Rhinolophus ferrumequinum: one gene and its partners. Each later gene encodes a partner of the first gene's protein in a complex. Links are inferred from orthologs where the notes say so. Each region holds a gene or a part of one and is shown in the gene's direction. Other genes may lie near its edges.

The links.
Region 2: the proteins of CACNA1C (region 1) and CACNA2D1 are in contact, whole or in part, in a cryo-EM structure (PDB 8WEA), measured with the Homo sapiens proteins. The link is inferred for Rhinolophus ferrumequinum from reciprocal best matches to the Homo sapiens genes CACNA1C and CACNA2D1. Residues at the interface, in NP_955630.3 of Homo sapiens: Phe147, Pro148, Glu149, Asp150, Asp151, Ser152, Asn153, Ala154, Asn678, Lys1090, Gly1091, Asn1092, Tyr1093, Ile1094, Tyr1096, Gly1099, Val1101, Pro1104, Ile1106, Arg1109, Tyr1156; in NP_001353796.1 of Homo sapiens: Thr170, Asp171, Tyr173, Ile233, Leu235, Gly262, Ser263, Ser265, Lys270, Thr274, Ala327, Lys328, Gly329, Ile330, Glu366, Gln391, His392, Tyr394, Ile416, Gly417.
Region 3: CACNA1C (region 1) and CACNG1 share a complex: the UniProt entries of both Homo sapiens proteins name them as parts of the calcium channel complex. The link is inferred for Rhinolophus ferrumequinum from reciprocal best matches to the Homo sapiens genes CACNA1C and CACNG1.
Region 4: CACNA1C (region 1) and STAC3 share a complex: the UniProt entries of both Homo sapiens proteins name them as parts of the calcium channel complex. The link is inferred for Rhinolophus ferrumequinum from reciprocal best matches to the Homo sapiens genes CACNA1C and STAC3.

Annotation. Positions count from the first base shown.
Region 1 is NC_046293.1:89,981,102-89,988,070, forward strand, and holds the start of CACNA1C (voltage-dependent L-type calcium channel subunit alpha-1C), read left to right. Parts: upstream 1-3,968; 5' UTR 3,969-4,599; coding exon 4,600-4,648; intron 4,649-6,969. UniProt on the Homo sapiens protein: Pore-forming, alpha-1C subunit of the voltage-gated calcium channel that gives rise to L-type calcium currents. Mediates influx of calcium ions into the cytoplasm, and thereby triggers calcium release from the sarcoplasm.
Region 2 is NC_046303.1:41,907,017-41,914,278, forward strand, and holds the start of CACNA2D1 (voltage-dependent calcium channel subunit alpha-2/delta-1), read left to right. Parts: upstream 1-4,257; 5' UTR 4,258-5,086; coding exon 5,087-5,181; intron 5,182-7,262. UniProt on the Homo sapiens protein: The alpha-2/delta subunit of voltage-dependent calcium channels regulates calcium current density and activation/inactivation kinetics of the calcium channel. Plays an important role in excitation-contraction coupling.
Region 3 is NC_046304.1:43,756,457-43,763,340, reverse strand, and holds the start of CACNG1 (voltage-dependent calcium channel gamma-1 subunit), read left to right. Parts: upstream 1-3,881; 5' UTR 3,882-4,082; coding exon 4,083-4,317; intron 4,318-6,884. UniProt on the Homo sapiens protein: Regulatory subunit of the voltage-gated calcium channel that gives rise to L-type calcium currents in skeletal muscle. Regulates channel inactivation kinetics.
Region 4 is NC_046293.1:56,296,311-56,303,549, reverse strand, and holds the start of STAC3 (SH3 and cysteine-rich domain-containing protein 3), read left to right. Parts: upstream 1-4,223; 5' UTR 4,224-4,424; intron 4,425-5,095; 5' UTR 5,096-5,096; coding exon 5,097-5,162; intron 5,163-5,426; coding exon 5,427-5,691; intron 5,692-5,935; coding exon 5,936-6,033; intron 6,034-6,250; coding exon 6,251-6,323; intron 6,324-7,170; coding exon 7,171-7,239. Other genes in the region: R3HDM2 (R3H domain-containing protein 2), read left to right, coding at 317-401, 1,281-1,621. UniProt on the Homo sapiens protein: Required for normal excitation-contraction coupling in skeletal muscle and for normal muscle contraction in response to membrane depolarization. Required for normal Ca(2+) release from the sarcplasmic reticulum, which ultimately leads to muscle contraction.

The DNA of each region.
Region 1 (6,969 bases):
CCGGCTAGGGAGCAAGGGGAGGGCTCTTTCTTGAAGGTATGGGTCCCCAGGGAAGAGAAAGGCCTGCCTGGCAAACTGGCTTTCGAAGCCCTGGGTCAGACAGGAAAAAAGAAAAAATGTACCTGCAATTCCACTTCCCAGAGAAAGCTATTGTCAACATTTTGGTGTGAGCTCTTTGTAGTCGCTTTCCCTGTTCAAATATATACCTGTCTTTAAAAGAAAAATGAAATCATAGCATGCATGATATTTTATATAATATTTTATATAGAAGACCCTGTTTTTATTGTAGTGTAAATAGTCTTTTTTCCATTAACCCTTAATATTGTTCACATCTATGTAAAGATTTCACCCTCGTTTATCTATAAAGCATAGACTCTGAGGATAGACTGCTGAGGTTCACATCCCGGGTATTCCAACATTTACTACCATGTTTCCCCGAAAATAAGGGTCGTATATTAATTTTTGCTCCAAAAGACACATTAGGGCGTATTTTCAAGGGATGTCTTATTTTTTCATGTACAACAATGTACATTTATTCAAATACAGTCATGTCATCTTTTTCTGGAACATCGTCATAACGTACTAAATGTGTCCGTCTGGCTGACGATCTTAACTGGGGCTTATTTTTGGGGTAGGTCTTACTTTTGGGGAAACACAGTAGCTGTGAAAACTTGGGCAAGAGAGTTAACTCTTCTGTGCTTTAGTTTCCTCACCTGTAAAAGGAGGATAAGAGTACAGTGATACCTCGGTTTTCGAACGTAGTCTGCTCCAGAAGACTGTTCGAGTTCTGAAACATTCGAAAACAGCCGACAGCTAGGCCTCAGGATCTTGCACTTGGCGGAAGCTGCATGACATGTTCGACTTCCCAGGCGTGTTCGAAACCGAAACATTTACTTCCGGGTTTACAGCGTTTGGCGTTTGTAAACCGAAATGTTCGTCAACAGAGATGTTCGAAAACTGAGGTACTACTGTACTCCCCTAGTTGTTCTGAGGAGCAAACAACTTTTTAGATGTGGATAATCTCTCAATGTTATTATGTAGTCAACCTTTTCTGTTGGATATTTAGATTGTTTCCAAGCTTTTCTCTCTTATAAATACACTGTAATTAACAAATTCAGCGCACTCTTAATTGCTTCCAAAGGAAATATTTGTGGTCAGTTAAGGAATCTTTTCCAGAGTGAATCATGTGCTCAACGTACACCAACTGTCCATATGCACAAAGCATTATGCTAGGCACAAAGAAAAATGAACACAGTTCTCTTCCTTAAGACATTGAAAGCGCAGTAGGGGGCAGATAAAAGGCACATTCGTGTACAAGTACAATACTATACAGAAATACAACACTATGTAGATAGAGTTATAGACAAATGAAGAACTATGGGAGAGGAGAGAAGAGGGAGTACCTTCAGCCAGAGAATTAAATCATGCAATAAAAAAGAAAGAAAAACTTCCTCCTCTGCTCCCACCATCTCCCAAATACCCAAATCAGAATTCAGAATGGTTTCTGTCTGTCATGTCGAGAATTTGTTACCTCAACAGAGAACACCAAGGGCTGTGCTCCAAAGTTAGAAGCCGAGATATGGGCTTACATTGCAAGGCCAAACATTTAGGAAATACCTTTTTCTGGAAGGGAAAGAACACATTTCACAGCTGAAAAGACAAGTGAAAAATGAAACTAAAGAAGCATGAAGGTAATATTTACTTGCTAGATTTATACAGTGCCTACCTTTAGAAAAGCCTGGCTATAAATCCAGCCTGTGCCCCCCTAACACACATACACTGTTCTCAGTTATCTGGCTTTTTTGTGAATTCTCTGCAGCATATTTTACAATCATTTCACTGTCATTTTAAACAGCACACTTCCCTCCCCCAACCCAGCTCACCCTGTCATCCCCTCTAAGACCAAATGCAAATTTGGAGGCAGCCACTCCTGGCCTAAGTCCAGGCTCCACAGTTTACCAGCTGGGTGACCCTGGACATGTAACTTAAGTCTCTAAGTCTCAGCTTCCACATCTGTAAAATGGAGATAATAATAATACCATCTACCATATAGGATTGCAATGAGGATTACATGAGTAATGCCTGTAAAGCACCTATCACAGCACAGAACACTCAGTAGTGTTAGCTATTATTATTCCTGTTCTACAGCTTCGAAGTTGTGTGTGTGTGTGTGTGTGTGTGTGTGTGAGAGAGAGAGAGAGAGAGAGAGAGAGAGAGAGAGAGAGAGAATCATTCCTGGAGTGTTTGGGTAACAGTAAGGAGGCTTGTGTGGCTGGGCAAGCAGGAGAGCAGTAGGAGAGGACACGAGAAGTTGTACACACTGTTCACGTGGGTCCGTGCAGGCTGCTCTAAGGACCTTGGCTTTTCCTAAGTGACATGGAGTGCCGGTGGCGGGCTCTGACCAAAGAAGTGCTGTGATATGACATTTTAAATAGATTACTCTGGCTGTCAATTGAGAATAAACCACAGGAGTGGTGGGGAGGGGAGACCAGGGAGAGCAGCCTCTGTACAAACCCAGGTGAAAGAAGATGTTGGCTCAGATCTGAAGGCAGCAGGGGAGGAGCTGAGAAGTGGCTTTATCTGAAGGTAGAACCAAGGAGATTTCCTGAAGGATTAGATGTGGGGGTATGAGAGAAAGGAGTCTGGAATGATTCCTATCAAATGCAATGGGGAAGGCTGTGTGAGGAGCAGGTTTGTACAGAAAAAAGGAATTCAGTGTTTGGATATGTTAGGTTTGAGTAGTCTATTGATCACCTAAGTGGAGACTGAGGTTGGTTGTATAGCCTCGCATTCAGGAAGAGAGGTCTGGGCTGGAGATACAAATTGGATATAGACAGCTGCTTAAATCCATGGAGATGGATAGGATCAGCCAGGGAATGAGTGGAGATGGGAGGTGAGGTCTGAGAACAGGAATGTGGAGGCATACCCAAGAGGGAGTTGCAGGCTCCTCTGCCAAGGCTCAGGAAGCCCACTTTAGAGGATCCAGGGCCTGCAGGGGGTGCGGTGGTACTTGCTGTGGCTGCGATGAGTTGGAGAGAAATGTTTGCTTCTTATGGAAGGAGAGGCGCTCAATAGATTCCTGCCAGAGTGGCAAAAATAATTAAGAGAAGTAGGTAAGGATATCCTAGTAGAGCACGTGCTCGGCTGCCTCCAAGGAATTAGAAAACCTGGGTCTATTAATCTGTTCAGACATCTGGGCACCACTGCTTTCCCTGCGAAGCTCCGCCCTCCGCTTCTCTCTCTCTTTCTCTCTCTCTCTCTCTCTCTCTCTCTCTCTCTCTCTCTCTCTCTCTCCCTCTCCCCCTCTCCCCCTCTCCCCCTCTCCCCCTCCGCCCCCCCGTCTTCCGATCCTAGCCTCTGTATGTCTGTGTGTCACTTCTACAACCGCTTTGATTATAATTGATCAGGCAGAATCACGGAATCACGGCTCATTTTGCTGTTTTGTTCAGTGGCCGGGTCTGCAGAGACTCAGCGAGTTGGGCAGATTGTAGTCCCCCCTGTTGGAATTCCGCTCACAGAGGCCTTCCCGTCGCGGACTGCCGCGCAGGGACGCGGGGGTGCTGCCGAAGATAACGGAGGGAGGAAGTCTGGAGACCGAGGGGCGCGCGGGGGGCTGTCGGTGCGGCGCCCGCGCGGCCCGCCAGCGCCCACGATCGGCCCACGCCCCGCCTCCCGGGGGGCGCCACGCGCAGCCCCCCGTCGCCGCCCTTTCCGAGCCCGCGCCTCGCCTGCGCCCCTTGACGTCATGTGGGCAGCAGGGCTGGCTCCGTGGCGCAGCCGAGGGCCGAGCGGGTGCTCACTGGGGGCTCGGTCCCTGCCGTGCGCCCTGCGTCGTGCGCCCGGTCCTGCGCGCCGCCGCCGCCGCCGCCGCCGCCGCGCCACATCTGGAAGCGTTCAGCGCGTCTGCCTCCAGCGCGCCGGGCGGGCGGGCGGGCGGGGAGGGCGCGGGCGCGGGCGCGGCGGCGGGCTGGGCTGGAGGCGGTGAGCGCGGCGCTCTCGCGCGCCCCGTGTCTCCCTCTCGCTGCCTCTGCAGAAACAGCTCCTGCCAGAACGGCGCTCGGCGCGGCGCGGCCCGAAGCGGCGGCGCCTCTTCCTGCCTCCGCGCCTCCGGAGTTGCTGGAGCTTCTTGACAGAGAAGAGCCGAGCCGGGGCCTCGGGAGGACTGGCCAGGAGAGGCGGAGACGGCTCAGCCCTTGCTGGCCCGGGCGGCCCCTGTCTCCCCGTCTCGGCTCCATCGCTCCCCTTGCCCCTCCTTTCCGCCTCTTCTCTCGCTGCCTCTCTCGGTTTATTTTTTCAAACCGTGTAGCCGCCAGAGGTGCGGTGCTAAATTCTTGGAAGGGGCCCGGATGTACTGAGGATGCATTACAATTTCACTCAAGGAGGCAGTAGTGGAAAGGATCAGTTTTTGGTGTTTGATGCAATAATGGGAATCAGGTAATCATCAGAAGGGAAGAAGAAATACCGCAGATCCACGGCTTCCTTGAATTTTGCACGAAATCCGCCGACCTCGGAGGAGGGATTAATCCAGACCCGCTGGGGGGTGTTTTGACATTTCTTCCTCTTTGTCGCTTCTTCTCCTTTTAAAACAATTTTTGGTCAATGGTCAATGAAAACACGAGGATGTATATCCCAGAGGAAAACCACCAAGGTAAGGCTGGCCCCATCGCCCGGCCAGGGATCCAGCGCGGGCTCCCGCCCTCCCCGCCCCGCTCCGGCTCGCCCCGCAGCGCTGGGGCACGTCCCTGTGGAGTTGCCCGGGGCGCCTCCGCCTTGCCGGAACCGCGGGACCGGGGCCCGAACCCCGCAAGAAGGAGCGGAAAATTCCCGCCCCTCCCCCTCCCGTGCCGGCTTCTCCGGCGCATGTGTTTCCTATGAAATTCCAGGCGAGGGGGAAAAGTTCCCCAAGTGTCTGCTTCTGCCTCGCTTTCTCTTGTTTGCCTGGAAAGCCCAACTGCCTTGCCCGCCGCGCGTGGGGGAGGGGGCGCCGGCGTCGCCGAACCCTGCTCTCCTCGAGCCCCCAGCCGGGGTCCCTGGTCTAGCTTGGGGCGCGGCTGGGAGCGCGCGCGCGCACCCCGCACCAGGCCGGCCCAGCGCCGGGGCGCCCTCGGGCGTCCCGCTCGCTTCCAGGTGCCCCTGCTCTGGGCCGCGCGCTCCGGGGGGCGAGTGGGGACCCAGCATGCAGATACAAGGCTCGGCGCCTCTCTCCCCTCTCCTCCAGTTTCTACCCCTCTCCCCGGCTCACCTACACCCACCCACCTCTCCACTGCCGTTGACCCCGAGGGTGCCCACGCCCCGTGTGTTCTTATTCGCGCCCACATGTGGGCTAGCACCTGAGGATGTAAGCGTTTAGAATTCGGGCGGTGTGTGGGCTTTGCTTTTTCATGTTAAGAAAATAATAAAAGGGTGTGCCGAGCTCACGCGGCTCCACACTATTGCCCAGTGTTTTCCGAGCATCTCCATCCTTGGCATCAAGTGTCACCAACTCCCCCTGTGAGGGGGAAGGCTTTCAGGTAACTCTGCACTTCCGGGAAACTTTCTCCCCCCTCCCCGCCCCCTTATTAACAAGTTACTGTGTTTTTGTGTGTTGCTCGGCAATTAAGGTCTTGATGGAGTGTAGAGGGGTGGTCTTGCTGGAGTGTGGCAGCCTCCAGCTCCATCTGTGTGTGTTCTCCATGGCTTTCTGTCTTTTCGGGTGTAGTCGCTCCCTTTTCTCTCCCAGTTTCCCAAGCCTCCCCATTGACACTCTTCCTTTCAATCTCTTCTCCTGAATACCTGTCGCTGTTGGTCTTGTTACTGGGTTTACTTGTTACTTCAGGTGATCCTCTGAGGACCAGCCTGGTGGAGGGGTTGTCTCCATGTTTCTTTTTCCCAGCCTCCTCCCTTCTTTTGCCCTCATCTCCACAATTTGGGGACAGTGTCCCTACCCTTCAGAGCCAGAGGCTGCTAGGCATCCTACCTGCCTGAAACTGATTTCGGGGCAAATTGTCCCTCTGCTTTCCAGCTTCGGTGGCAGTGTGGGGATTTTGGCTTCTTTTGGTAGAAACAATTTTCTCAAGGGTCATGGGTTCTAGGGTGAGCCAGGGCTTTGGGGCCACAAGGGCAGCTTCTGTCCCTGGATTTCTCTTCCCATGCCCCATCCCTCACCTGCTCCCTAGTCCCCTGCCTAGCTGATGGTATAGCCAATGGATTGGGGGGAGGGAATGAGAGAGACAAAGGAAAGGTTGATACTTGTGAAGAGTGGGGATGGGTTTCTCCCCTCCAGGTTCTTAGCTCAGGCTAAGCAGCCTTGAAGAGGAGAGCTCAGTAGCGTTGTCCTCACTACACTAACAATGGCAGGATACTGTGGTAATGATTATTATGCACAGAATAATCTGAAATAGTTTACCAGTTCTCCTCTTAGTGCAGGATCAACCCTTTCTTAGCCCTTGTCCTTCCTTCCTGTTGCCTCTTTGTCCCCCAGCAACCCCCTCCTCACACACAAATGCAGGGAGCAGACATTAAAAGTAGGAGCCTACCCTGGAGAGGTTTGTAGGAAGATGGAGGGAAAGGCAGCGAGCGAGCAGGGCTGGGAACTCTGCCTTTCCAGCAACATGCCGACAAACACTATGGCAACCTGAATTCCAGTTCTCTCCCTTGAAGCTGCAGTGATTATATAATTCACAGGAGCAGTTTTGCCTCCATTCCTGGATGCGGTTCTCAGGTGAAAAACCACCAGGATCCCTGTCTCCCCTCCATTCCCCATCCCCTCTTCCTTGGTCTTTGGCGTTGCCCAGGTTTTTTTGTGGGAGGGGAGGAGGAGAGGAAGAGGGTGATGGAGGTGGGGAGAGGCAGACCTGGAAGGGCATGGATATTCACGAGGAAGGGGTTGCTGTGACTTAATAACCAAAGGGGCAATGAAACATAATTGGAGGTTAGAGTTTCAGGAGCGAGAGGAGAAGCCAAATGATTACCTCAGATCGGTGATGGTGA
Region 2 (7,262 bases), on another chromosome or scaffold:
TCACTACAGAGTAGTACACATCAGCAACATAGCTTTTTAAAAAAAATATTATTGATCCTCAGTTAGTTGAATCTGTGAATTCAGAAGCCACGGATGTGGAGGGCTGACTGTGTACTCAGCTTGATACTCAAGATTCAGTTTCTTGTTTTACTCTGGACTATCTCCACCCAGGTTGGCAAATTTATGAAATCAACTCTTTTCTTCCAGCTAGCCATGGACATTCTGAGAGAATCATGTTCTTAAAGAGAAGTTCACCTCAGAGTAAAAGTGAAAGGAATTGTGACTAAGAAAAAAAAATCAATGTATATAAATTCGACCTATAGACAAGCTTTGTCCTTCTGTGCATTCATCTAACGGATTAATTGTATATTATCTGTACAGGAAGTGTATTTGACCCATAACATATCCAAATTCTTATAGAAATATGCTAGTTTATAATGGTGGTCTATTGTGTTTAAATATGTTTAAAATATCGACTATCAGAAGAATAACATCAATAATCTTTCTCTTTCATGGAAGGCTGCATTTACGCAATTAAAAAAACTGTGAAGAGTGCCAATAGTTATTAGTTTTGGTCTTTTAGATGTTACAGTTTACCTCCTATTAACCACTTCCCATTGAGTTTTTGCTGCTCTTGAATGTTTGGATAAATAATTGAACCTCTACTTCCCTTTGTCTGTGTAGGCCTAAGTAAATGGATTCCATATATTCTATTACTTGCAGTTCAAACAACGAGAAACCTCCAGCTCTATTTATGGAGTGGAGAAGGATCTTATCCTGAAATCTAGATTTTAGAGTCTAACATTTTTTTTAATGGGAAGTCAGTCATGCTGTAGGTGCTGATTTTGTTTGAGATGCGCTTGTGTTTAAAGAAGGAAAGAGGGAAGAAGAGCAAAAATAAAACAAGGAAAAGGAATGGATGAAAAATTTCATGATTAGCAGAGATTAAAAAATAGAATAGCATAAAAGCTATTGCTTGGTTGAAGATATGATGGTATTTAATATAATAGCTAATATTTCTACGTACTTAAATTAGCAGTTCACCATTATAGGATTCTGATGGGCAAACAATAAGCTTCCAGTAAGTACTTGTTTAATGTTATTTTGTGTCCATTTAGAAAAGGTATATTTTTTTTCTTCAAAAGTTTAATGGTTGTCTATCAATATCTGTATTATTCGGGTCAAAGCAAATATTTTTCTAAATATTTGTCTTGTTTGTAGGAAATATTTGACCTTATTTCTTCATCTAAGATAGGGTCTTTTACCTTGTTGCTTTCTATGGAAGCTTCTGTGTGCTGCTTTAGTTTAAAAATACTGAATGCGAACACTGACTTGAGAATCATTACATATGCTCTTAACCATTCTCCTGGGAATTGATACTTTTGAGTTCCTGTCTTTCTTATTCCCATCTTCTGAAAAGATTCCCCAAGGACATAAATAATTGAAACTTTCTGTCCGTTTTTAACTTTGGCTTTCTCTGGCACATATCTATGTGTGCACAGAAGCATGATATCGCCTCAAATCACAAGTATTTTCAATTATGGTTCTTATAGTATTATCTTTATCTCAGAGACAGGTCTTATACTTCTATTTGCATATAAACATATAAAGCCTGTTGTCATGGTTTTCTCCTTATATTTTTTAAGATGTGCCAAAAAAAGAACTAGAAAATTAATTATTGCCCTTTTAATTTTTTTTGTCTAACAGCAATCATTTTCTTTTCCAGTGTTTGTATGTGTGCTTTTGTACATGAAAAAGAGAGGGGAAAAAAAATCTCAATAAGGTTACTTTTTCCTATTCTTTAAGCCAAAATGTTGAAGAAATTAGATTTACTAAAAAAAATCAGAAAAACCTACTCATACATACTTTGGAAAATACAACATAAATAGACTTTGATGCTACCACTACGCATAGTGTAACCTTAAACAAAAAGAGAGTGAACATTTCATGGCTCCTAGGTTAATATTCTTTGTTCATTTTTAATTAACATAAATTTATATGAACAAATTATATATTTACATGTAATAACAATTGAGAATTAGCCAAAAATTACAAACATAAATTTGTCATAAAACTCGCTGCTTTGCATGAACTAAATCTCCTTTAAACTTTCTTCTAGATATGATTAAACACAAACATCTCAATTCTTCACTAATCTTTATTTTGTTACCAGAAAATTTTCTCTTAAATGAATAGTAGGTTATTGATTTCTGACTTCTTGCTCACTTACAGCCTATAAGACAACTTTTATCATCAGCCCTTATGATTTATCAACAGTTTATCTTGAATGGCAAATTTTGAGGAATTAGCAAAATTTTATTAAAATGGGATAAGGTCTGATTTTTGTGGAATTTTCCAAAATAACAGAACTGAGCAGAAACAATGCATTGTAGATGGCTATGGTTAATCCAATAGATACATAATACTATGCTGTGAAAATGGTCCTGTATTAGTTATCATACATAAGAAATAAAAGCCACATTATGAATATCCTCATTAAAAAGGTTTAGGTTGATAAAAAGCACTAAGTAGCAACCTCGCAACAGAGCACTAAGCAATGATTTAGGCTTAGAGTTGATAACCAACCCTTTCAGAAAGAATTGTAGACGCAATATCTTTCTTCAATGGCTTCAGATATTAGAGAACAGAGTGCTTCATCAGAGTGATCTAAAGAAATTGAGATTTGGCTCAAAGGCCAACAAATAATGGCTGACTTACCTTCTGTAGAGCATGTTCTCTTAAAGACATAAAAATGGAAATGGTCTACCTTAGTAGGAGGTATGGTGTCATCATTGAAATAATTGACAAAATATATTATAAAAATATTTTTATGTAGTGAGGCTATTATGATAACATATCATGTAGACAATAATGAGCATCTAATTCTGCTATTTGTAATCCCCATGCTGGGGAAGAAAATCTGCTTTTGCATCATTAAAAATTGGAAAAAAAATGATGTACTTGACTATTTAGTTATCTAATTTTGGCGTGAAAAGCTATCTTCAGTTATATAAAATATCCTTCTGACTGAGCTTTAGTTCTCACTCGCATTACATCCCACTTCATCTCTCATTTGCTAGCTCCTGCTGCCACATTCTCTATGCTTAGCATAAAACAAACGAAGTTAAGTCCCAGTGGGGTGCCTTTTGTGAGGTCACTCAGAATAGGAAGAAAGAAACAAAGAGCAAGAAAGAGATGTAGAGCATATAACAAAAAAATAACAACAAAACAAAACAAAAAACAAAGAAGGCACCAAAAAGGAGAGGTGATTGGGAAGAAAAGATCACTGGGTCAAGAATCATAAAATTGTACACACTTTTTAAACGTTGCTAGTAAGTAGTAGCATTATCAGTTCTTCTCTGTTTTGGGAGATTGCCTACAGAGAGCTGGAAAATCAATTCCAAATTCATAAAGGTCTTTCTCCTTTCATAAGCTCCTTCTGAAACTAAAGAAGGACTAATTAAAAATTTTACAGCCACATCATAATTCTGGCCTTGACGCATATGCAGGATGGCCATTTTTTTTCCCATCAGGGATCATGTTCTCTGCACTTCTTGTCAGAAGTGCTCTAATGCACTACTGTAGGGAGCTTAAGAATTGAAGATATTCAAGGAAATCTTTCCACCCCTGGCACAGCAGTTCCTTCTTGAACGAGGCCTCTGCGGTCTGAGGGGCCTAATCCAAGACTCCTGTGTTCTTTCTACGAGAAGGCCTGAGCTCGCCCTACCATTGGAGATGGTTCGGCATTGCTACTCCTCCTTATTTCTCTCCTCTCCCTTAATTTTTCCTCCGAAATTCAGGTGCATTCATAAATTGCTATCCTTTTCGTGCCTTCACATTGGCAAAGTGAACTCACCCTGCAGCAACCATGTCAAGGCAGGGCAGCCCACTGGCCAGAGCAGGGCGTTTGGAATCTTCTGGAGATAGTTTCACTAGGGTTGTTTGTTACAAAGCCCTTTTCGCAGCACTGTCTTCCCCGGGTGGAGAATCGTCCCTGAACCCCTCTGTCCTACCCAAAGTCAGGACAGCGAAAATTTTACAGCACCAGGTCCTTCCTCCTCTGACGTCCTCGCCAGGTGATTCACAGCTGGACGTGGGGACGGTGGCACAATTTGCATTCAGCCACACCAGAGGGCCTGGCCTCTGGCACTGTCGGGCAAATACACAGTGCCACCTGGTAGGGAGTCAAAAGTGGTGCTTTAAAATGCAAATACAAACCCCTCCTACATTTGTTGTCAAATCACTTCGCCACGATTCCTAGCTAGGCAGTGGACACGGAGCCCAAGAGGAGGGCTGGGGGAACGCTGCCTGCATGTGCAAAAATAAACCCCGAAGACGCAAGCCAAATACTCCGCTGGAGCCTCTGTAGCCCGTGGATGCCCGCCGGGAGGCTGGCTGTCCCCCGGGAGCCCCGCGGGGCTGGGTCCGCTCCCCCTCCGCACGCGGGGCGGCGGGAGCCAGCCGACGCCGACTTTAGGAGTTCCTCTCTGCCTTGTATGGAGGGCTGCTCCGGGCCCGTCTCCGCCCGACTGCTCTGACGCCCAGCCCTCCCGCTGCCCACCCCCAGCCACCTCCCTCTGACTTGCCGGGAGAAGCCAGACGGAGCCTCTCCCAGCCACAAGTCTCTCCGCCTGCCATTCCCCCATTTCTACATCCACCCCCAACCCCCTCCCAAGCGCCGTCACCCCTCCTCCGCCCCCGCCTCCGCCTCCTTCTCCTCGGCAATCAGGGGAATAAATCAGGGAAGAAATCGAGAGGGAGAAAGAGAGATAACGAAAGCGCTCGAGCGCCGGCGGGCTTGCCCAGGTCTGTTTCCAAAGTCGCCCTTGATGGCGGCGGAGGCGAGGCAGGCGCGGCGCGGATCCGCCGACGCGCGCTAGTGGGTCCGCCCGCCGCCGCCCCTTCCCCGCGCCGCGCTGCCCCCGATCGCCCCCCGCGCCAGTCTGCGCCCAGGACCCCGGGCGCGCCAGCCCTCCTGACGTCTGCGGTCCGGACAGCGAGTGATCCTTCTCCTCCTTCCGCGGTTTCCAGCACCGTTCCTTCCCCCGGCTGGGGAGGGAGGCGGGATTGATCTTCGATCGCGAAGATGGCTGCTGGCTGCCTGCTGGCCTTGACTCTGACACTTTTCCAATCTTTGCTGATCGGCCCCTCGTCGGAGGAGCCGTTCCCTTCGGCAGTCACGTAAGTCGCCGGCCGGGCAGGGCTGGGAGTGCGGGCCGCGGAGTGCTGCGGGAGCTGGGCGTGGGGTCCGTCCCCGAATCGCGAGGCTTTTCTGCCCGTGGGGGTGGGGAGCGAGCCGGGCTTGGCTCCGGAGAGGCCGAGCAGGAGGTGCGCGCGTCTCGCCGCGGGAATGCGTTGCGATCCCGCGTTTCGGAGGGGCTGGAGCGGTGGCCGAGCCATCCCGGGAAACATCCGCCGACGACTCGCGGCTCCTCAGCCCATCTATTAAAGGATTCTTTAGACTTAAAGAGTTTACATGCACTGGGGAAAAAGTTTCCAGTCAGGTAGTCGCTCTCATCAAACACAGTTTAATAAAAAGTTGTGTTGTGGTTGGGTGTTTTACAAATAGGTAATTTCAGGCTTGTCAGGATAGTCTGGACTCTCCCGCACTTTGCCTCTGGGATGCTCTCTAATTGCTGTGGTGTCCAAACTCGTTTAGATCTTAAATTACCGGGCGCACTTGACAGCCTTTCCGCTCTGAAGAGTGCTTGCTCCCGGCTGCTGAGAGTACCGTCCGCCCAGAGGGCTCGCAGGTACTAGGACCCCGATATCCAACCCCCGCAATCCTTTATTTGAAGCATCTAAGTGCCAAAGACACGCGGTCCCTGTTCTTAGAATGAATAGAACCTAGTCTTTGAGGGAGGGACTCGGCGTTTCTAGAGTCTCCTGCAATTTTCTCTTTTTTAAACATTTCTAAAATAACTTAAAGAAACTCGCTGCTATTCGGAAAATAGTGTTTAAAGGTAGCTGTCTATGCAGTCACGGCAGGAAGGGAATGAAAAATACTAATTCTTCTCTTAGGATGGGAAAAAGAAACAGTCAGTGGCACATAAAAATACATACATATCTTTAAATGCGCTGAATAGCCAGCCTATCAGGCATTCTGGGAAAGCATTTATTTTGGTTCTTGAAGCTGCTTTAAAGCTTCTGAGAGTAGGTAATCTTAAGTGGATGAGTCACTTTAATGCATTTTACATAACAAAAACAAAGCCCAAGGTAGCCTTCCCGGAATTTATGATGGAAATTATTTGCTGTCCTTTGTTGACTGAGTGCTGAATACTGGAGTTTTTGGTGGATACTAAGAGTGAATCTTTACCAGTTGAAACCCTGCAGCTATTATTTAAGATTCAGCTTAAAGTATTTATTACATTAGGTGTCAGTGCAAGCATCTGAATGATGCACATTCTAACCCAGAGAAGGAAAGTCTCTAATATTTTTTGTCATTGATTTACAGTCATGTTCCTTTTTAGGTAATCTTCCATAAAAATGACTGCAGATCCTTTTTTTGTTATGAAGCGAAAGGGTAAATGCTATCGGTAGATCTTCGTTTAATTGGCAGGATGTTCCAAGCGGATATTTTGAATTATAAAAAGAGTAAGAATTACCCTAAAGATGCTTCAAAATTACGTACTCTTATGAAGAAATTACACTTTTATTTATTTAAGTTTTTACTCTTTTTCTAGCTTGGCCTATGCAGTGAGAACTCAAGGACTTCCTTGCATTTTTTGTCAAATAAAAAAGTGGCTCTTTAAAAAGGAGTCAATGTGTTCAGTTTACACATTTTTAAAGCAGTTATTTTTAACTGACAATTTATCAATATTTCTATAATTTGGAGGGAATACATCATCACACCATTGGGGAAAGCTATGACTTTAAACTACAACAAAATACAACCTTTTATTCCTGAACATACCATGGTACAATGTTAATGTAAAAATTTTTATTGTAAGGACAGCTGCAATAAATGATTTCCTACAATTAAAATAACTCAATTTTCATGGTCAGAAATTCATTAGAGACAAGAAAGAAAATAAATAGTGAACAAAAATAGGGATTAGGAAACCACAATTTCTTTTTTTTTGAAAGGATTTGAAATTCATTTTTTAACAATGGAAATTTAAGATGTCTTCAAATTACATGAAAAATTATTTCATGAAATGAGAGCTTAATAAGAGATTTTGTAGTAAGTCAGTCTCCTGTAGATAATATTAACAATATTTTGGTAAGACTTCTGTATCTTCAACTATTTATTTGAAAAGTTA
Region 3 (6,884 bases), on another chromosome or scaffold:
CGTCCTTGGATTTATAATTGCAGGACAGGGGAAGGTGGGGGCGCTGATACCGCCAAACCATCACTCCTCCCCCCTCCTGGGGAAAAGCCTTCTCTGAGGGCCTGGGTAGACCATCCTGAACCCTTTCTCATCACTGTCATTTCCCCAACCCCGTTCCGCCCACACCTTTATGTTCATCAGGAACTTCGCATCTAGCTCAAAGCCCTCTTCTGCTCCCCAAGTCCTACCACCATCAAACTGAGCCACATCAACATCTGTGGGGCCGGCCATTCCAACTCCCTGGCCTCACAGCTCTGCCTTCTCACCTCCCTTGCCCTTCATCTCCAACCTGGATCTTCTCATCAGCCCTGACTGTCCCCCCTGTAATCTTCAGGGCTACGTCCTCCTCTCTGACCGCAACTTCCAGTGCTCCCATTTCCTTCACCACTACAGCTGTTCTCCAACCTCATCAAACCCTTCCGGGCCTTGACCTCTCAATTTCCTCCTAATATGTTGACACCTCCTCGTTGCCGGGCATCCTAACCAGCCCAGACATGGCAAGTCATCATTTAAACTCACCCTTGCCGATGCCCTCAGTTCCCTTGGGCCCTTTTCTTTCTATCTTTTCTCTCCTGAAAGAGCCTCAGCCCTCTTTCAATCTCACCTTCCATCTTCCCCATCCCTGCACCTGAGCTAAGAAGTGATGCCAGAGAACATCAAGCAAGTTCAAAATCGATGCTTGTGGTAGACAGAATAACGGCCCCTAAAATGTCCAAGTCCTAATCCCTGGAACCTGTGACTATGTCACTTGACACGGCTAACGGGACTTTGCAGGTGTGATTACATTAAAGACAGGGAGGTTTTCCTGGATTATCACCTTAACCACACGGGTCTGTAGAAGGGAAAGAAGAGGGAGGCAGGAGAGTCAGAGATGAAGATGCGATGACAGAAGCAGAGGTCAGAGTGATGCGATTAACTGCTTTGCAAATGGAAGGCTTCTGGACAGAGGCACCGGATAGAATTGGAGGCAGCAAGCCTGATGCAACAGAGAGTCCCAGATGAACAGTGACAGGAGGCAGAGGGAGTGGAGTAAAAGGTTGGGACCAATTGGGTGGTGCCTTGCTTTTTTATACAGGATCTTAAGATCAAACACGCAAGGCCATTTCTTAGCCCAATTAAGCCTGAGCTCAAATTAGATCAGCGTATCGCCAAAGAGGGGTTACTGGGCCCCCACCCAGGCGTAACCTGGTCCTAGCTCTGAATGAGGCCCACCTCTGGGAGGTGTTTTCTTTCCCCTAGTTATGTCTGGTCCTTCTTGGGAAAAGATTAGTCACTTGGGATAAATGGAAACGGGTTCATCTGAATGAGGAAAATACAGACAATTACCAAATTTCTCAGTGTGGCACATCTACTTTGAAGATAATGTCCTATCTCAGGAGGCTGCTGTGACAGGCAGGCAGAACTTGGTCGCAGAGGTGACGACAGTGCCTTCCTGGGGTGTCCCTCTGCACCTGGAGGTAAATTAGCCATTAATTCAAGCTGTCCCGGGGCTCCGTGTGGCCTTAAGCTACATAGAAATGTCCTTTGGATCACCCAGTGGAGTAAATTATCTAAGCTTCTATCTCCTTCTTCTTTCCATCCATGAGTCCATCATCCATCCATCAGTCATTCAACAAACATTTATGGAGATCCCATCCTGGGCTCAGACCTAGGGGGCTTCTCTAAGGGGACCCAAAATGAATACATAATACGGTCTCCCCGTCTCTATCTTCCCATCAGAGAAAGCTGATCCATCTGCAGTCTATCGATAATAATAACAGCCATCCTGGATCAGTTGCCTACTGTATTAGTCAGCTCAGGCTCCCATAACAAAATACCACAGGCTGGGTGACCTTAAAAACAGAAATTTATTTCTCACAGCTCTCCCTTCAGTCCTAGATCAGGGTGCCAGCCTGGGTGGGTTCTAGTGAGAGTCTCGGCTTTCAGCTTCTCACTGAGTCCTCACACGGTAGAGAAAAAGAGAGAGAGGAAGCCCCCTGGTGGCTCTTCTTAGAAGGACACTAATCGCATCACGGGGCCCCACCCTCATGACCTCATCTAACCCTAATCACCCACCAAAGGCCCCGTCTCCAGATACCATTACACTGGGGTTTGGGTTTCAACATATGAATGGGGGGGGGGCGGATAATTCAGTCCATAGCACCTACCACAGGCTAAACTGATAAATCCATTATCTCTACTCCTACAGCAGCTCCCCAGCCAGCTGCCATTGCCCTCATTTTATAGATGAGGAAAGGGCAGTTTAGAGAGGTTAATGGCTTGCTGGAAGCCATACAGCTAGAGATTGGCAGAGCGGGGACCTGACCCTGGGGCTGTCCGTTCCATCACTGGCAGGCTGACTCCCAGTCCCTAAGAAGCCATCTTTCCTGATGACCTGGAAAAGGTAGGACCTGTGTGGAGGACGTTGACGTCCCCCAGCCCTGGCTCCCAGCAAATGCTGGAGCCCCCTTCCTGGCCCAGCAAGGCCCTGGGAAGTGCCAAGCGAGCAGCCTGGCAGTGGCTTCCACGAGCAGAAATGGTCTGTTTGAAGGAGCTTTTAGTAAATGAGAGAGAGAAAGGAGACCTGCCTGCAGTGCCTGGCACTGCCAATGCCGTGGGAGATGTACAGCCCGACTACTTCTGAAGGAAGAGACATCAATCTTTCCTGGCTGGGTTGGAGGACTCAGGACCCCTGCATGTGGCACAAACCTGCCCCCCACTGAGGGAAGGTGCAGCCTGGCTGTCTGAGGAACCTGCAATGTGGGTGCAGCTGACACTGCGTGGACCCCGGGTGTCGGGCCCCCACCCGGAGGCCAGGATTTTGAAGCTCAAAGCCCTGGCCAGCTCAGGGGTTTATTTGTGGCTATGCATTAACCTCAGATACACCCCAAAAGAGGCACCTGGTGAACTGAGGAAGAAGAGGCCGAACCCAGGAGGGGTGTAGGGGCCTGGAGACCAGCCTGGGGGTCATGTGGGCAGACAGGCCCTCGGATGGTGGTCCCAAACTTTCACGTCTTCTGCTGCCTCTGCTCACCCATTAGCCTCACAGTAGTCACCCATAAATCAATCTACTTCTGTTCTTTTTTACTTAAATGTATTTATTTTGTAAATGGAAACATAACTGGAAAATCTTTATTACCTACAATTAATAGAGGTAAAACTAAAACAGTAAAACCAAAACAGAACTACAGTCAGGTCCCGCTGGATTCCGTGTCCTCTCCACGCTTTGATTTGCAAGTGTCAGCAAGGTGGTAAAGACTTACTAACCCTGAACGGGGCTTCTCTTCTGGACCAAATAGGAGAGACGGGAGAAGGGAACCAGAAATAATGTTCTCAGGCTGGGCAGTGTCCGGCCACGCCAGGCCCAGGAACCACCTGAAATCTTCCTGCCGTTTGGGGGATGGCATAGGCCTTGAGCTAAAGCTCTTGCCTGAGTAGTGGGCTCCAGAGGCCCTGGCGGGGCGGATCCCCAAGGTGTCCCTAGGCAGGATTGTGGGTCCCCCAGGCCTCCCGGACAAGGACCCACTCACCCTGCCCAGTGTGATAACCGAAAGCTGTGCCACCGTATCTCCCAGGGTCCCCTGCCCTCACCCAGCAGTGCCCTTTCTCCTTCAGGCCAGAGCAGGCAGACTCCACACTGAGTCTCCCTGTTGCTTATGCCTCACTCCCTCCCACCTCAGGTGTCCTGAGCTGCCACTCATTGTAGGTCTCCAGTCACCATCCAGATCCTTCCCTCCTTGCCCCTCCCTGGGGTATTTCTGGCTCCGTGAGAGGAAGACAGCCCTGAAACCCGAGAAGAAGTCATCCTCGGTGACGGTGGCGTGCCTGTCCATGTGCATTAATAGAAGCCTCCCTCAGGCCCCTGTCACGTCTGGGCAGCTGCTCAGCCCCGTCCAGTGTCCCTCTGCCCCAAGGCCAGCCCACTCTGGCTCGGCCAGGCACACTAAACTTAGCTTCCACCTCCTGCACCATCACTGCTGCCACCACCCCAGCCTGGCTGCCACCTGCCCAAGGAGACGCTGCCGCCGGACTCTGTCCAGAGTACACGCTCCTCTGCGACCACCATGTCCCAGATCAAAGCCCTGAAGATCCGCGCCACGCTCTTCTGCATCCTGGTGGGCATCGTGCTGGCCACGGTGGCCGTAGTGACCGACCACTGGGCTGTGCTCAGCCCCCAGGTAGAGCACCACAACACCACCTGCGAGGCGGCCCACTTTGGCCTCTGGCGGATTTGCACCAAGACTATTGTCATGAGCGACAGCAAGGACAAGAGCTGCGGACCCATCACCCTGCCTGGAGGTAACGTACCCAGTCTCTGTCCCCTGTCCCTGCTTCCTGCCCTTTCCCACCCCCCTGGAAAAGTGGCCAGTGGGAAAGAGGGTAGGTTTTCCGGCCTTAGAACAGCCCTCTGCGTCCGGGGAAGAGGATCTGAATTGCATGAGGTTGTGCTGGCCGCCAGAGTTGGGCTGTAAAATGAGGGCATTTGTCTCTCACTATTTCTGTCTTGCTGAGGCTTGGGGCTTTTTACCCAGAGCAGAGGGCTGCTCAGGTGGGACGAGAGGCTCAGGAAAGGAACCATGGACCTGCCAGACTAGGGGCTTCTGGCCCCAGCGGCAGTCACTTTTCTGGGTGTGCCTAGCTCCACTCTCTCCGTGCAAGGACAGGCTAGTGGCCCAATGTCCCCAGGGAAGGGACCTGTGGGGCTGGCTTGTTTCTTCAGGGTATAGAGGCTTCTTTCCCAGCCTCCAGGGTATAGACAGGATCAGCTGCAGAATTTATAGGGCCTGGTGTAAAATGAAAATGCAGGGCTCCTTGTAATTATTTTTAAGAATTTCAAGATGGTGACAGCAGAGCATGAAATCAAGCCTAGGTCCCTTCTGGGTGCAGGGCCTTCAGTGACTGACTACACAGGTCACACATTTGTGAAGCAGGTACCTGGCTATAGATGAGCCACCTGCCTTTTAGTCAGAACTGTCGGTCCTTCCATACATCCTCTCTTGGCTCAGACCCCTTCAGAGTTGGAACGCATTTTCTTCCTCTATAATATAAGCGCATTCCTCGATGTCCTACCATGTGACCAAACGACACGCTGAAGGTGAATTCCTTCTCAATAATACCTGGGTGGGGTATTCTGCAAATTAGGTCTCTTCTGCAAATGTGGAACCCTCTGCACTCATAGCAAATAGAGCACATGCCGAGGGAAGAACGCTGCTTGGAGAATCAGAGTCCAGGGCTCTAGTCATACATTGACCATAACCCCCCCAAATGACGACGGTGGGGTGGGGTGGGGTGACAGCCCATCACAGCCTCTGGCTCCTCCTATGGTGCTTGGGGTCAGCAACATGAAACCCCTTCCAGTGCTTACAAATATCACTCCAAGGCGGCAGGGCATTTGGGTGAGTGTGGTGTCCCACCTGGTTTTCAGAATATTTCCTTCTGTCATTCGACTGGGTGTTCCTTGAAACCTGCCCTTCTAGGAAATCAGTGCCAAGTCTGCACACATCTTGCACTGTATGTGTGGGACAAAGGAACCCAAACCCTGTGCCTCCCTCTTCCCTCCTTCGTCTTCCTTCCCCTCCTGCTGGCTCCAGGGAACTCCTGCCTTGCTTATTCCCACCGGATACTCGCAAGACTTGTAAATACCCAGCTGTCTTGGAAACATTGCGTCCCAGGGCTGAGGGCTTTAAATGACATGAACATGCACTGGAAGGGTATCACATAGCTCAGATGCCCACGCCCCTCGGCCACTGCTGAGCACACCCGTAAACAGATGCATTATCCAGCCAACTCAACTGGGCAGGGAAGGGCAGGGCAGGGTGAGGCAGATTCTCCAGGGACCATGCACGGAAATGCACTGATATGGTCCTGTCCACCTGTCCTTGGAAGCACCTGCCTTTTAAAGTCTGGTGAGTGTACAGAGCAGATGAGGAGGGAGGTGAGCTAAGTCTATACAAGGAAGAGACAGATTGGTGGGAGGTGACCGAATCTGCCACAGGGGACCAACAGGCATGGCTTGGCCTTGAACCTGAGCTGAGTCTATCTCTATGCCTTCTCACTCTGATCCAGAGTGAACCATACTACTCGTGAGCACTGCCTTACCCCAAACAAGCTTCTGACATGCATCCCTGCCTTCTTCCCTTTCCCTTTTCTCTACAATCTTCTTTCTTCCCCAGCCACCCTCCCTGTGCTCTATGGGTTCACTGTTTTCTAGATAGATGAAAAGAGATCACACATGTTCTCTGATTTATTATTAACAACAACGATAATAATAACAACTGCCAACACAGACAGAGCAGTTATCTGGAAAACATTGTTTTCAGTGCTCTATAGATATGAATTACGAGAATATCAGAGAAAAAAAAATGACAGAGTAAGAACCTCCAAAAGTCCTCTCCTCCATAAGAACAATGAGAACATTGGCAAAAATGATCAGCATAAACTTTTTCAGAACTCTGGAAATTAATCAGTCTTGCAGCAATCCAGCAGTGCTTATTCTAGAGAAACGGGTGAACCTCAGTAAGAACAGTGAGCTTTGTGGTGTTTTAACTTGCTCTATTCTTATTTCCACCCCACCCCCAACTCTGTCACAGCGTTGACAACCCCCAGCCTGCAATCACAGTGAAAACCAGCAGCCTGGTAGCCAGCCATCATCAGAGGGGACAGAATGGGCTGGATCTCTTCCAAAGTGTCATTCCCAAAGAGCGGTCATTATTTGATCCGTCTGGTGATTCCCTGCAAGTCCCTGTTTGCAAGGCTGTCTTTATTTGACCTGACTCTGAGCTCCTCCAGGGGAAACAGTCTTTTCCCCGGGCGGGGGGAGTGGGGGGTCATTTGTCAAAAACAATTAGAAACAATTATTTAATATC
Region 4 (7,239 bases), about 34 Mb from region 1:
CCCTTCGCACTCGGGCCCCTATCTCTGAGCCATCTACCTCAGCCAGCTGGGTGGACAAAGGAGACAGCAGACAGAGAATGGACAAAGTGGAAGGGCCTTACCGCACTCCAGTACCATTCATTCCTTTCTCCCCACCCCGTGGCCAAGAGGGAGGGGCTCTTTGTTTCTCAGTGGCTATTTGACCAATCTGACTACCTGGTGAGGGGGGTCCTCAGGGTTGGGTGCTGCTCCTTCCTTAACTTCTCAGGCAGACACTGGAATGCGAGGCAGTCCATGTTATTTACCCAGGATGAGAATTATCTTTCTGATGTTGAAGGGACAGACTGGGTTGAAACATGGAAACCGGAGCAAGAGACAAGCACTCAAATCTGCCTCCACTGACCTAGGGACGACAGATGTTGGTGAGTGACAGGATGCCGAATCTCCAAGAGAAATTGCTCACCCCTCCAGCCCTACATTACTAGCCCAGGATGGCAGGGAAAAGCCAGCTTAGGGTGGGGAGTAGAAATGGTACCCTTCTGTACTCAGGAGCAAGGAGAAGTTGCAGAAGTGAAGTATCTCTCTCCTCCTTACCAAGCTATTCCAGGTGCTGGGGAAGATGATGGTAAAAATTGGGAATAACACAATGATGGGGGTTGCTGAGCCTATTATCAACAGAGTCTTGTGGCAGTGGCCCTGACTTTAGTCAAGGTTGTCTACCTTTGGTAGTCCTTGACCTAATTTAGGAGAAGCTTGACAAAGGAATGTGGAGGAGTAACGCCTCCTGCAGGCCTTCCGTACTAGGCATACGAGATCTGTCAGGATTTCCCCTATTTGGAACAGTTTGCTAAACAAGGAAAGGAGGGGAAACTGACTTCCATAGATAATAAAAAAGGAATCTACTGGGGCCAGCCACTGGGAAGGGAGCTATGGAACATATTTCAGATTACGCTACTGACTTTGTCAAAGAACATCAGCAAAAGCCACACTCCTTCACAGTAACAGCTCCCTGTGAGAGAACTGAGGTGCGGGTCTCCAGATCTTCAATCTGGGATTCTGGTTCCCAGTCTCTCCTTGCCTGCATCTCTAGGCTAGAGGAGAAAGGTTCCTTTGTTTCTCCTAGTTGCCCTGCTGAGAGTCTGGATAGTGAGGAGTTGGGTTGACTGGGGAAGGAGGGAAGGGCGAAGTGAGAAAGGCCAGGCTTTTGAGAATGTTGTATACAGACATGGCCAGCTGGATATTTGTGCAGTCCTTCCTACTCTAATCCTCTCACAACCTTGTCCTCTCTCCTTCCCTTCCAGTCCTGGGGCGGGTGCTGGAGGTGACAGATCTCCCTGAGGGCATCACTCGTACCGAGGCGGACAAACTCTTCACTCAGCTCGCCATGTCCGGCGCCAAGATCCAATGGCTCAAGGATGCCCAGGGGCTGCCTGGCGGAGGTGGGGGGGACAATAGTGGGACTGCCGAGAACGGCCGCCACGCGGACCTCGCTGCCTTGTACACCATCGTGGCTGTGTTCCCCAGCCCCCTGGCGGCCCAAAATGCCTCCCTTCGCCTCAACAACTCTGTGAGTCGCTTCAAACTTCGAGTGGCCAAAAAGAACTATGACCTGAGGATCCTGGAGCGAGCCAGCTCCCAATAAAGGGAGGAGGGGAAGGGACCAGCACAGCAGGGGAGAGGGCAGGGTGGAGGGTGTTGAGGGATCCTGATAGACCATGGACAGAGACCGAAAGGAAGGTGACAGACACTAAACTGGAGCCTAAAACAGTAGGGATGAAGATGGAAGCAGACACTCACACTGGCACTGGACTCCTTCTTACTCCCCTGCCATGGGTCCCCTCTTTTTCCCTGGTTGGCCTTCCTCTGCTTCCCCCTCCTTCCCATCCTCTTCTATCATTTTTGATCTCTTCTCCCACCATGAAATTAATTTCTTTGATATTTTTTGGTTAGGTAGAATTGGGAGAGTCCTACACTCCCCTGTTCTCCTGTTTCCTGATCATCCCAAGCTCCCTTTTCTTTTTTGGTCTTTATGAATATATTTATATGGACAGAATTAAGAAAAATGAAATTGATTTCCCTTTTCTCTCACTTCCCCCATCTTGTCTCCCCAAACCCCAGAGTTAAAACTTGGGCCTTCCTCCACCCCTACTCCCCAGAACACTTGTATATTGTTTGTTTGAGGTTCGTGCCGAAGTAACAGATACAGTATTTAATTGCACATAACAGATGTTTGCTGGGTATATTCACTGTAAATTTTATTTAATCTGAGTTTTTGTTTGTTTAGGGGGCATCATTTGGGGGGAGGTTGATTTTGTTTTTAAATATAAAAAAAAAAATCTGTCACTGGACGTCAGTCCCTGTTTCTGTGTTGCCGCCCTGGGGTGGGTAGGGGTTGGAGGTCCTGGGTAGGTACAACCCCACGGTTATTGGAGGGATTTGATGTGGGTTTGGATGGCTTTCCTAGCATATGCACCTATCTCATCCTAACACTATTCCCTGTGTCCCAGCCTCCTCCTTACACATAGTTCTGAGGTACCTGGGTCTCTAATGGGACCTGGGTCCTGGGTGCTCCCAATTCTGCAACTAACTCTGATTCATCAAGCACACACTTCTCAACTCGACACTTCTGAGTCTGTATCAATAAAATAAGAGATGTGGACTGACTAGGTGACCCCTGAGTTTCCGTCCTCTCAGTTAATTCTGTAACACTCATTTAGGGTCCTTGAGCCTGAGCTGGGGACGGGGAGTTGAGGTCCAGACCTGGATTCAGATGCGCCTCATACCTGTCCGTCTAATGTTCAGGGATAGAAGACTTGGGCCTTTAATCTTAAAGCCAGGGGATTGGGTTCTACCTGGCAGGAACAGAAGTGGATGTTTCTTACAATACAAAGCTCCGTCCGTTAAATTTGCAATGCCCAGATGCCATATTACCCAGATGTCCTATGCAGCTGAAGAAAGGTGAAGAGCAGAAGTCACCTGCCTACAAGATGGAGCTTTTCCTCTGAGGCTTCTCAAAACTATCCTAGTTGTTTAGCCTGTCAGACCAGTTGTTAAAGAGCCTGTAGGCACAGAATCATCCAGCAGCCCCCTTTCAATCTGAGCCACCCCTTAAAGAGAAAAAAGAGCAGAAATGACAAAGAACATCGCCCCGGAAATCTCTTGGCTCTGGGTAGGAGTAGCTCTGGTGAGGCTCGCTCCTCTGGGGCTTGTCTGACCCAACCTCCAAAGTAATCCTTTACTTTTTAAAGATACAAGGGATAAAGCAACACTATGTCGCCACCTCCAAATTGCTCCCCTACCATGGGAGTATCTCCCTTTCAGCGGTGTCAGCACAGAGCAGAAGGCTGCATCCCTGGGAGATAAGAATGCCAGATAGCTCACTGAGCCATCAGTTCATACACCGGGGCCTCAGAGGAGGGAAGAGGAATCGGGATCAGAATGATTCAGGAAGGGTGAGGCTTGGCCATCCTACCACCTCCCAGAGTTTGCAGTTCTCATGAGGAAGGGATATTCCTTACAGACGGTAAAAATGCCCTGCGTGGCAGCTGTTTGTTACCGTCTTTCCAGTGTGAACAATAGCATCTCTACCTGATCATTAGACCCTTCCTCTTCCAGAGCCCTCAGATGGGGGTCACAACCTGGCTTTGTTTAATAGCTCTCAGAAATACCTTCACCCTGAGGACAAGATTTTAGAGGAATAGGGGGAAAGAAGTCTTTGGGAACAACTGGAAGGAACACAGCAGTACTACACGTTCTTCACTCCCATAAGGACAGCAGCATGTACCCCTCCATCTACCCGTAGAGAAGAAAGCAATCTGGCTGATAGGAGAGCTCTGAAAATTCAAATTTTCTTTTCTTCACCAGTTCCCAGCCTTTTCCTTCTTAAAGGCTTGAAGGCATAAAAACACATGGCCACAAGAAGACAATGGCTGAGAAGTCAAAGCCTAGTTCCTGAAGTAGGTCCAGGGAGGGCAGAATTGGGGAGGTGTTTGGGCCTTGGAGAAAGGGGATTGGGAAAGCTGTTTGTAATTCGTCTTTCCATTAGTCATCTAAAAATCACCCACGAGTACACAGCATGAACACTGTCTCTTCCTGAATTTAGCCCATACTGACTTACACACCATAGATGAAAAACCAAGGAACGGCAGCTCTGGGGGATGGGAGAGGTTAGGGTCCAGCCCTGCCCAGACCTCTCCGTGTCCAATTTCTCTGTGTCAGCTGTGTCGCTCAGCTGTCCACTTTCCTCTAGCCCTGTCATTTCAGCTTTGACACCAAGGCAAGAGGCTAGGTCTACAAATACCGCCTGGGTAGCCAGTGTGAGTACAGAGGGTACTGGGGGGGCTTAGCCCCCAAGGAAGAGGACCAGTCCTCCAGCCCCACCACCAACACCGCAGGGGCTCCTTCCTCCCTCTACTGATTGTGGATTGACTTAGGGAACCCCAAACGTAAGTTGCCAATTCCCCTTTTCATTTCCAGGACTATTCACCCCGGCTTCCCCAATCCTGAGTCTGTTCAGCTTCATTTCTTTCCTTGTCTGTGAGTAGTTTGGGTTTTAGGAGTGAAATTACTGTTCTACTCCTGGACAAAGAGCTAGGACTGGAGGGGGGGTGGGGGTTGGGTCAAGGGAACGGAGTAGTAAGAGAAGGAAAGGCTCCTATTACTCTGAAAACTTAAAATAGCTGAGGCCTGAGGCAGGCTGGGAACTAGGCCCTGGGCCTCCAGGGCTCAAGAAAGAGGTTGGGATAACAAATGTCCCAGCGCTTCCCTCCACACATCAAACCTCTCGAAGAAAGATCTCGGGAAGGTGTGTGTCATGTCTCATTGCCCACAGATTTTGTGAAACAGGGTCTGTAGGAAAATCCCTGGGGTTGCCCTTCAGGGTGGAAGGATGGATATCGTTAGAGGAACTGGTTGGGAAGTTCTTTTGTCTGTTGGGCTTTTCTCTGGACCTCAATGGAATCTTCCTGTTCATAAGCCCTATGAAAGGATCTCTGTTTAACCAAATTTCTCCCAAAGCCTCCCCTTCAAGGACCACCCTATTACGAGGGATAGGAATAAGGGAGGGAAGAATGGCAGTCAGAGATTAGATTTCATAGTGGGGTCCAACCTCTTGCAGGATGACAGAAAAGGAGGTGCTGGAGTCGCCCAAGCCCTCCTTCCCAGCAGAGACTCGGCAAAGTGGGGTGAGTCTGGGCCTCTGACCATGGGGTGTGGGGAGCTGCAAAGCCACCGCAGCCCTTGAAAAGTGCTTGAATTGATGGCACTTATATGCGACTCATTTATTGTTAGGATGCTAGCCAGCACCTGCACCCGCCAGTACCCCCTAATCCTGGGGTGTGCCCCTTACCCCAGGTTAGGAACATGTCTAGTTAGCCTCAGCCTTACCTAGAGAGCATGACAATTCTTTTAACATTGGGTTTCCTTCATTCCCTCCCTCCCTCCCTCAGCTACAGCGGCTGAAGCAGTTATTCAGGAAGGAGTCTACAGGGACAAAGGAAATGGAGCTTCCCCCAGAGCCCCAGGCCAACGGGGAGGCAGTGGGAGCTGGGGGTGGGCCCATCTACTACATCTATGAGGAAGAGGAGGAAGAAGAGGAAGAAGAGGAGCCACCCCCAGAACCTCCGAAGCTTGTCAATGATAAGCCCCACAAATTCAAAGAACATTTCTTCAAGAAGCCCAAGTTCTGTGATGTCTGTGCCCGGATGATTGTGCGTGAGTCATGAAGGGAAGTGGAGAACGTGTGATGTCGAAGGCGGGACAGGGGGAAAGGGTTTAGCAGAGGAGTGTTTGTATAGCAGACAGGCTGTGGCAAGAATTGGCTTTAAGAAAATAACTGTTAGAGACCTCAAGTGTGGGCTCCCAGACAGAAGAGGGACCTGAGAGCTAGAGTAGCAACAACGGTACAAAGGCAGAAGGAAACAGGAGCCTCACCGAAATGTTCTCCCCTTCTCCCAAGTCAACAACAAATTTGGGCTTCGCTGTAAGAACTGCAAAACTAGCATCCACGATCACTGTCAGTCCTACGTGGAGATGCAGAGATGCTTCGGCAAGATCGTGAGTAGACTGGGGAGCCAGACAGTAGGAGGGAGCAGACAGGTGCCAGCTACCCCCTTGCCAGTCCCTCCTCAGGTCACCCCATCCATTTTCCTGCCTTTTCTTTCTCAGCCTATCTCTTAACTTCGAGAAGGGGTGAGCACTCATGGGAGAGATGGGGTTCTGGGCCCTACTGTGTTCTCTCTAATGCTTTCTCCCATCCCATCTTACCCTGCAGCCCCCTGGCTTCCGTCGGGCCTATAGCTCCCCACTCTACAGCAACCAGCAGTACGCTTGTGTCAAAGATCTCTGTAAGTGCCCCCCCTGGGACCTGAGGGAATGGGCAAGCCTAGATAGAGATGGTTTCAGCACCATCTCTAGCTTTGGAAGCCAAATTCTGAAACAGAAAGATTCTACTTCCTGTGGTTCTCTCTCAACCTAATATTTGAGCCATTTTGGATGCAGAGTCAATACTCCCGTTTGATAGCTGAGGGAGATAAGATTTAGCTAGATCTCCACACAGCTAGCAAGAGACAGAGCCAAGACGAAAACCTTCATCTGCCTAACTTCAAAATCTGTGCTCTTCATATGCAAAACCATTTTTAAGTGAACAAAGATTCTGACAATCCTCATCCTCCTTACAGAAGAATTCCAGACTCAGGGCCAGACCAAGAGCTGTGGACACCCTGGGCACATTCTTAATTTGGCAACCCTTACAAAACGTTATTTGACAATTGGCTCCACATTTATTTGGAGGAGAGGCTGAATTCTGTGAGGAGCATGGGTGTAAAAAAGAACTCACTGGTGGTGGCACCCCAGCTGGCACATGCCACTTAGTGGAACAAAAGCCAGCAGTTAAAGGACCTCTCTACTTAGAAGGAGAATAGTGATTCTGAGAATGCCCTGCCTAGAAGGAGTGCTGATAATATTTTTCTCGATCACATTACATTTCCAGTGATGTTTTTGGAGCTCTTTGTAGATTGATGACTTGTGTTTGCCCAAGTGACCCTTCCCTAATCTGACAGACACACACAGACACACGCACACACGCACGTATCTGCTCAGTCCCACCTCTCCCTTGCTTAGGCGGTGTCTCTGTCCTCCAAGCCTTGCTCTGCCTCCCCAGTAACAGCTTCTTTCTTCTTCCATTCCCACTAGCTGCCGCCAATCGCAATGACCCTGTGTTTGAAACGCTGCGCACTGGGGTGATCATGGCAAACAAGGAGC